2 linked regions of the Canis lupus familiaris genome follow. The protein of the gene in region 1 purifies or fractionates together with the protein of each later gene. This does not show direct contact. Links are inferred from orthologs where the notes say so. Each region holds a gene or a part of one and is shown in the gene's direction. Other genes may lie near its edges.

Evidence for each region. Proteins that work in one complex are often made in the same cells at the same time.
Region 2: the proteins of MOS (region 1) and FKBP5 purify together in Homo sapiens (affinity purification with mass spectrometry; 3 studies listed by BioGRID and IntAct, counting the BioPlex papers as one, with this or other methods). This does not show direct contact. The link is inferred for Canis lupus familiaris from reciprocal best matches to the Homo sapiens genes MOS and FKBP5.

Annotation. Positions count from the first base shown.
Region 1 is NC_049250.1:8,009,479-8,013,812, reverse strand, and holds the start of MOS (proto-oncogene serine/threonine-protein kinase mos), read left to right. Parts: upstream 1-1,458; 5' UTR 1,459-4,091; coding exon 4,092-4,334.
Region 2 is NC_049233.1:4,902,889-4,906,538, reverse strand, and holds part of FKBP5 (peptidyl-prolyl cis-trans isomerase FKBP5), read left to right. Parts: intron 1-150; coding exon 151-390; intron 391-1,083; coding exon 1,084-1,188; 3' UTR 1,189-3,650. UniProt on the Homo sapiens protein: Immunophilin protein with PPIase and co-chaperone activities. Component of unligated steroid receptors heterocomplexes through interaction with heat-shock protein 90 (HSP90).

The DNA of each region.
Region 1 (4,334 bases):
ATGGCCTGTATCTCTAATTTAAAATGTATGATTCAATAATTTGTTTAGATTGGTGATTCTAAATTAAGATATGACTATGTACAATATTCAACCTACTATTAAAAAAAAAGCTTGAGATTCGTCACATTCATTGTTTAATTCAGTAAACTTATTAAGTATTTAATATTCAGGATAGATTAGGGAGAACTTAGTGACAGCTTAGCATATATTAAATAAAGCCAATGAACTTTTGCCACTGACCCAAATTATAAGAGGCTGTATCATAATCAACCCCTATCTGTTTCAAGAAAGCAATTTTATTAACAAAAAACATACGAGCTGATAAATACTACTATTGGCCAAAGTCATGTATATGAATGGAAATATACATAAAGTAAAATTAAGGCTGCCTGGGTGGCTGAATAGGTTAAGCTATGCCTTGGGCTCAGGTCATGATCCCAGGGTCGGGGGATGGCGCCCCGCCTCAGGCTCAGTGCTAGTCTGGTTCTCCTTCCTACGCCTTCAAAGGGTTCCTTCTGTTTGTATAAGCTTTAAGCCCCCACAAAACCTGGATCTGCCCCTGGGCATATTATTTTAGAAAAACCAAAGTAGCTCTCCAGGCTTCTGTACGGACATGGGAACATACATAATTCTTGCTGACCATAAAATTCAAACTTCATAATATTAATTAATAATATAATTCCACTTAAGTAAAAAAAAATTTAAAGTTTTTCAACTTTATAGTTTTTATTTTTAGCAAAGCACGTCTTCACTTATTATTTTAGCTCCAAAAAAAAAAAAAAAAAAAGGCAAAAGTTTATTTTCGACTTCGACTGATGCTTGCAAACAGCAGCAGTACAACCCTTCGAGCCTTCGAGGACTGCAGGGCGCCCCCTCCTTGGCCTTCGGACTTTCTGGGGTCGGGCTGTAACCGGAGATCCCGGGCGGCGGGTCCCGAGGCGCGCACGCGCAGACGCGGCCCGAGGGCTCGACGTGGGCGTCAGCGGGCGAGGGCGCGCCGTGCGGGCTGGAGTTGCACGGCCTCTTAAAGATGTCTCCCGGAAGGCTACGTGATGATGCTGAGCGCACGAAGATGCACTTCTGTGCGCGCAGGGGGCACGGGCACGCCGCAGCGGGGCGCAGTGAGCCCGGGCACAGGCCGCCTCGGCGGGACGGCCGGCCACGTGCTTCCCCGCGCCCGGGAGGCTGCGCGCCGACCCCAGGGCCGGGAGGCCTCGGGCAGCTCGCCCACGGCGTCCTCGTGCCCGCCGCCTGCGCACGGCCGCGCGGGACGGCGCCCTCCCGAGCCCCGGAGCCGAGGAAGACCCTGCGCGAGCCGCGAGGTTGTCTCCCGCGAGCCGCGCTCCTCCCCGTCTGCCGCTGAAGCGGAGTTCAGCGCGCTGCCCCGCCGCCGCCCCGCCGCTGTCCGCCGCCGCCGCCGCCGCCGCCCCGCCGCCGCCACAGCTGCGGATGCGTACGCCGAGCCTTGCCTGAAACCCACGCAGCTCCCCACAGGCGTGCTGCCAGGCGGAGCAGAAAACGGAAAGCCTTTAAGAACCGGAGAGCCTTCTGCTCCTCACCGGGTGCCCCCAGTCTGGTTCATTTGCACTTCTAGGAGACAGTGCCTACCCTGTCATTAACGAATATTCTTTGCCTTTATTTGCTATGACGAGATGACTGCATTTGATCAGATAAATGTTGACCCTCTGCATTCCTAGTATATAACAATAAGGCAATATACTCTTAACATATCTAACCTCAAATAAAATTTAAGTTAGAAGACCAGTCAGACTTCGGTTTAGCTTAAGTAATGAGTCACTTCAGCCCTAGCAGGGTACGCTTTTTTATTTTTTTTAAGAATTTTTATTTATTTATTCATAGAAACAGAGAGAGGGGCAGAGACACAGGCAGAAGGAGAAGCAGGCTCCACGCAACAAGCCTGACGCGGGACTCGATCCCGGGTCTCCAGGATCACACCCCGGGCTGCAGGCGGCGCTAAACCGCTGCGCCACCGGGGCCGCCCAGCAGGGTACGCTTTGACACCGTCTTAACAAATCTGTTTCTTACAGCATAAGCCCATATACACTTTATGAGTTTCATAAATGATAATTAGCAATTAGGAATTACTTATCATGTCCTGATCTAAGTATTTGCTGTGAATACTGACAGCAGTCCTCAGGCAGATTTTCCTCGTCTTACAGATAAGGAAACTGAAGGATAGTAAGAAACCCAGGCAATCTGGCCCCAGAGGCTGTTTTAAAATGGATATTCAACGAAATACTCTTGAGCAGATTGGCAGATGCTAGATATAATGAACTTGGGGCTTGTGAATGTAGAGTGCCACATTTTCATTAATACCTTGTATCTTATATAAGTAATAAAATCAACCTTTGTAAAATGAATTACCTATGCTCTTAGCTTAAACATAAAGATTATATAACAAGTCACATCATTTTGCAAAGAAGGTTATGACACTCTTTTGATCAATATAGCATTCCTAATACCATAAAAGTTTCGGAGACCTAAATTATAATGCCAACTATGTGATGACTATTAAATAAATTTTGTAATAGACTTACTGTAGAATATAATTTTATTACTTTCTTATTTTACTCTCTTCACTGTCATTCTTTTATATTTTGGTTTTGATTCAACTGCCTTTCTACTAATATATTTTATAATATACATTTTTAGACTTTCTTTATTTGTACAGGGCTCCCGAACTTTTATTCCAAAATTAAAAAGTTTATTATTATCCTAATTTCTTAACTGAAAAAAAAAAAAACCAAGGCTCAAACAGATTAAATATTACACACAATATCTAAGGCAGATGGGTAGTATAGACTAGAAATCCTACCCTAGGGCCCAACAGACTTCAAATGGTTTATGTAAATGGCTTGTGTTTATTCACATATCTTCTCAGAATCAATATATCTCAGAAACAGACCTCTTTTATAAAAATGAAGGTGGTTAAACATCACCTATATGCTAAGTACAATAAGTTAAAACAGAATTTTACCAATTTTTTAAAAATATGGATCCTAACACCTTCCTATGTTTTTTAATCAACAGGTTAGTATTATTGGTCTTTTCCTCAAATATGGAATGCAAATTAGTGGGAGGTGGGGAGTTATAAAAACTAGAAAGAAAGAACTTATGGTTGAGTAGCAAGACTCATTTATTTTTAACATCTGGGTTTCCACATTATATATAGGCAGTGGTGATTCTGTGCCATTTTTATTCGGATTTTTCCTCTTCTAGGATTCTCTCATATTTGTTATTCTTTGAAGCTCTGATTATGGCTCTGAATCTGAATTTTTTTTCTCCCCCAACTCTGTTTCAAAACTTCTGTAACTCATTTGCCATGAAGTCTAAGATCTCTCTTGCAAGTGAGCTTACTGGGTGGGCCAAACTGCCATGGAACAGGACTGTTAGGAAGTCGATATGTTGCTAAGAAATCTTGCTAATTTGCTATATGAGCTGAATGGAGTGTCAGAGAATTTTCCTTTCCCCTGATGACCTTAGGAGGTGTATGTTTTGACCTGTATTAGTGATTGTATTTGGATCAATTACTTTAAGGTTACAATTTTTTATCCATATATGAATGTTGCACCTAATTATCCCCATAATCGGCTAAACAAATGTCAGCTGTTCGTATTTCAAATATTTCTGCCAATAACTGCTGGAAGTGATTTAATGCAGCTGGAGAATAACACTGACAATCATTATAGCCTGCAAAATGTGAAATAATTTCATTGCACTATATAGTCTCTTTAGTCTGAACACTGATCATGTTCAGTGGATGACACTTAAAAAAAAAGCTGTTTTTTTTTATAATTAAATAATAAATAATGGAAAAAGGGGGTGAGTCCACAGGCAGCTCACTGCTGTTTATCTGGCGAACTCTTCTGGGTGGAGAGCTTATTTTTATAAAAAGTCACTTTAAGTGTTGAAGGGAAATATTTTCATCTAAAAAGGAGGATTGTACTTCATTCAGACTGCTTCCGCTCATCTGATAAAAACCCTTGTGAGTAACAGCACAGACACGGCTCATTTGGGGAAAATGAAGGAAGAGGAGAAAAGCGCTGGGCGGAGCAAAGGAGGAGTCAGAGATGCTTCCAAACTCGTGGGACCCTCTTCTTTTGGTTTACCTGAGCCACTTTGGGGTCCACTTTGAAGGTGCCATGCCCTCACCTCTTTCCCGGCACAGTTACCTCCCCAGTGAGTTTTCTCCCTCGGTGGACTCGCGGCCCTGCAGCAGCCCTTCTGAGCTCCCAAGTAAAGCAGGGAAGCTCTTCCTGGGTGGCACTCCTCCCAGGGCTCCAAGGCTACCACGTCGGCTGGCCTGGTGCTCC
Region 2 (3,650 bases), on another chromosome or scaffold:
GTCACTTCAGTAAACTTTTTCCAGTCCCCTTGGCCAGAAAAGTTTGGGAAGTTATTTAAATACTGAATTTCTTTGAAAGGTCCACAAACATGTCCACATGTAACAAAAGTTACATTCATGCTTTCTAAAATGTAGACCATCTGTCCCTAGGCGCTTGGACTAGACAGTGCCAACGAGAAGGGCTTGTACAGGAGGGGTGAAGCCCAGCTGCTCATGAACGAGTTTGAGTCGGCCAAGGGCGACTTTGAGAAAGTCCTGGAAGTGAATCCCCAGAATAAGGCTGCACGACTGCAGATCTCCATGTGCCAAAAAAAGGCTAAGGAGCACAATGAGCGAGACCGCAGGATATATGCCAACATGTTTAAGAAGTTTGCAGAACAGGATGCAAAGGTATGTGCAGAACTGCCTTTCCCTTCAGGTACATCAAAAACTGATCTTGCCCCTTTGGTTTTTGTTACAACAAGATTAAGCATAGGGCACAGGGTCAGATAGACAACCTAAGAGGCACAAGAACGGGGAAGACGATTTATGATCTGATCTGAGGCTAGTTTGGATCCAGAAGAAGAATGGGCTGTTCTACTCACCAGACGTGCAGAGTTATGAGGCACTGCATGTCTGTGAAAGGGATGAGAAAAATAAGTTCCCTAGAGACTAGGAAAACTTGCTAGTTTTTAAAAATCAGACACATCAAGTATTTTTTTAGATACTTTTCAGATATTTGTTGAGACTTCCATTTTCCCGGGCAGTGGGCCATGATAGGGAAGGCCCACCGTCAATGCCCTTTTACTTCATCACCTCCCCTACAGCAAGGTTGTGTTCAGGTCCTGAGTTCATCCTCCACTCCCCAGTCCTCTTGTCACAACACTCCCTGTGGCAAGCTAGTCCTTCCCACCGAAGAAAAGTGAAAGCTGTCCACTATGCACTGTTGTCAGCACTGCTCTGACTTACCCAACCAGGCAGCCCCAGGAAAGCCACTGTAATGCCCTCCTGTTTGAGACCTGATAAGCAGTCAGGAGGAGCCAGGAATTACCTGAATGTTTCAGTTTTTTCTCTAACCCTCTTGATATCTTATTTCTTCCTCAGGAAGAGGCCAGTAAAGCCATGGGCAAGAAGACTTTAGAAGGGGTCACCAATGAAAAAGAAGCAGAAAGTCAAGCAACAGAAGAAAAAGCCGGAGGCCATGTATGACACCACGCAAAGGAGGGAAGAGCCCTAATGAACTCGGCCCCTTCCTCCATGGGCTGTCACCCAACTCAGGACTCAACAGTGTTTCATGTAAAGTTTGTTATAGTCTGTGCGAATCTGGAAGCAAATGGCAAAACCAGTAGCTTCCCAGAAAACAGCCACCCTGCTGCTGCCCAGCGTGCTCCTTGAGAGGGTGGCATGGGACCACTCCCGGTGGAACGAAGCAGAAGTGACTATTGATGTGGTGAGATCGAACCACCAGCTAAGTCCAGCTCATTTCAGTTTGTGTCAACTTTCAATATCTAATTCAGGGTCCCTTGAGATAATCCTAACAATTTGGGCTGTCTGTTAGGTTTTACATCTGATTGAACTTTTAATAGCACTGCAGAAACCTAAAAATAAATGCTTAATGATTTTCTCCTTTCCTGCAGTTGGGTGGGAGAGAGGAGGAGGTCTTGGTTTTTAAATGACTGAAGTGCTAGCATTCGTAACCAACACAACCCATAGGGAGAGGGGTCTGGAATCCCCTCACACACTGGTTCTCCACAGTGCCAGACTCTGAAGCCAGAACCTCAGAGGCCACTTGCTTGCTGACTTTAGTCAAACTTCCTCACTAAGCCAGTCTGCTTGGGAGAGTGGGGCTCTCTGGCACCCAGCCTGGCCCTGGAGGAGGGAATCTGTCATTCCCAAAACATTCTTCAGCAATGATAATGAGCAGAGGGAGTTTCTAGATTAGCTTTCCCTGCTTTCCTTGAAGTTCTGAGATGCTGAAATGTGAAAAGAGTAATCAGAATTGTGCATTTTCCCCTCCTCTGTCTCTTGTAGGAAGTAATGTGGAGTACCGTACTGCCTGCTAGCATTGCTGCCATTCAGTTTCTGATTTTCATTCTAAACCTTGCTATATTAAGAATTTAAGACTTGTTCTTAGAATATCTCTGACCTGGAGTGGATTTATTTATATATCCACTTAGGATTCATGCAGCTTTTTTTTTTTTTTTTGTCTTTTTAAAATTACTGGCTCATAAACATGTATACTGGTTTATGGAACTTTATTTACACTCCTCTATCATACAAAAAATTTTTGACTTTTTACTACGAAGTAGCTTGATTTTTAAAAACAAAATCTGCAGAGGTGGAAAAATAAGTAGTTGCTCTTGTACGTTAAGGGTTTTCCTCGCAGGTTTGGCACGCAGCAACTTTCTTATGGCTTCTTTGTTCTGGTGTAAGTCGTGAAAAAGAATTGAAAACTGCTTCCTGTGCAGGCACATCTAGCCTAAAAGCTCCAATCCTGGGGCATTGAATCAGGGCAAATCAGAGTACGTACATGTAGTGGAATCTTGGTCCTTACGGGTAAGCGAGATTGAACATGGCCTGAGAAGCACTTGTGGGAATGCGTTTGCAATCAAAGGAAACAGTAGCTCCAACCTGGAACATCTCACTTTGTAAAATCCTAAAGAACACTGGCAGTTACTAGTTTTAACTTTTATGGTGGTTTTAGCAAAACACTTGTTAGGTTAGGACCCACATCAAAACCTAAAAATAAAATAATTTCCATTTATACCATTTTTTTCCTCCATGGAACAAGTGGAATTAAATTGTGAGTTTCTTCTTTGACAACTAGAATGCTTTTAATTCTCACTTTTGTCTTTATTCATGAGATTTCTTTTAAAAGCCCCAATCTCGCCTAGGAAATATGAAAAGCAGAAGTTGATTTTGCTTTGTTGCTTGACTGTTTAGTATTTGTAGCTCTTTTGACTAGAGCATGACTCCAGTGAGATTTGATCCTAAGGCCAGTTAGCTTTTTGCAGGTAGCAAACAAAAAAAACAGGTTCTAAAACTTAGATTATCCTAGCCAATTGTCTCCCAAATGTGTGTTATGGGTCACCAGCGGGGAATGGGCAAGAGTGTGCACAGAAGGGAGGACAGGGGGTATGCAGGTAGTTCTGAGAAAATGAGGGTGAGGTGCCCATCACCACTCAAGAAGAAGAAACTTCATATGTTCTTGTATCAAATTCAGTAATCTTAATTTGTCTAGAAACCAGTGGATGTCTTTGAACCATCTTTCAGACTGCATTTGGAGTGCTGAGGCAGCATATATGATGAATTGAAAACTTGTTTTTTAAAAAAAGAAAAACATTCAGATGCACTTTTTTGTGTTCCTTAAATAAACAACCAAACATGATTTCCCCTTATTCTTGGGTTTTGCTTAAATAGTCTTCAGAAAAAGTTGTTTTGGTTGGAAAACTAGGGTGGGGGCCAAGTTGAAGAACTACAACCTCAGAAAATTGGCTGCAGACACTATTGTCCTCCCTGCTCAGAGGCACAGCTTGAAATCAGCATTGGGCTAAAAGTGGTAGAAAGATGCATCTTTGTTCAGATGAACCAAATCAGAAAAACAAGATTTTTTTTTTCTCGTCAGCCAGTGAGTATTCCACTATTTTAGCTAATTGTAAGGTAGGTTCAAT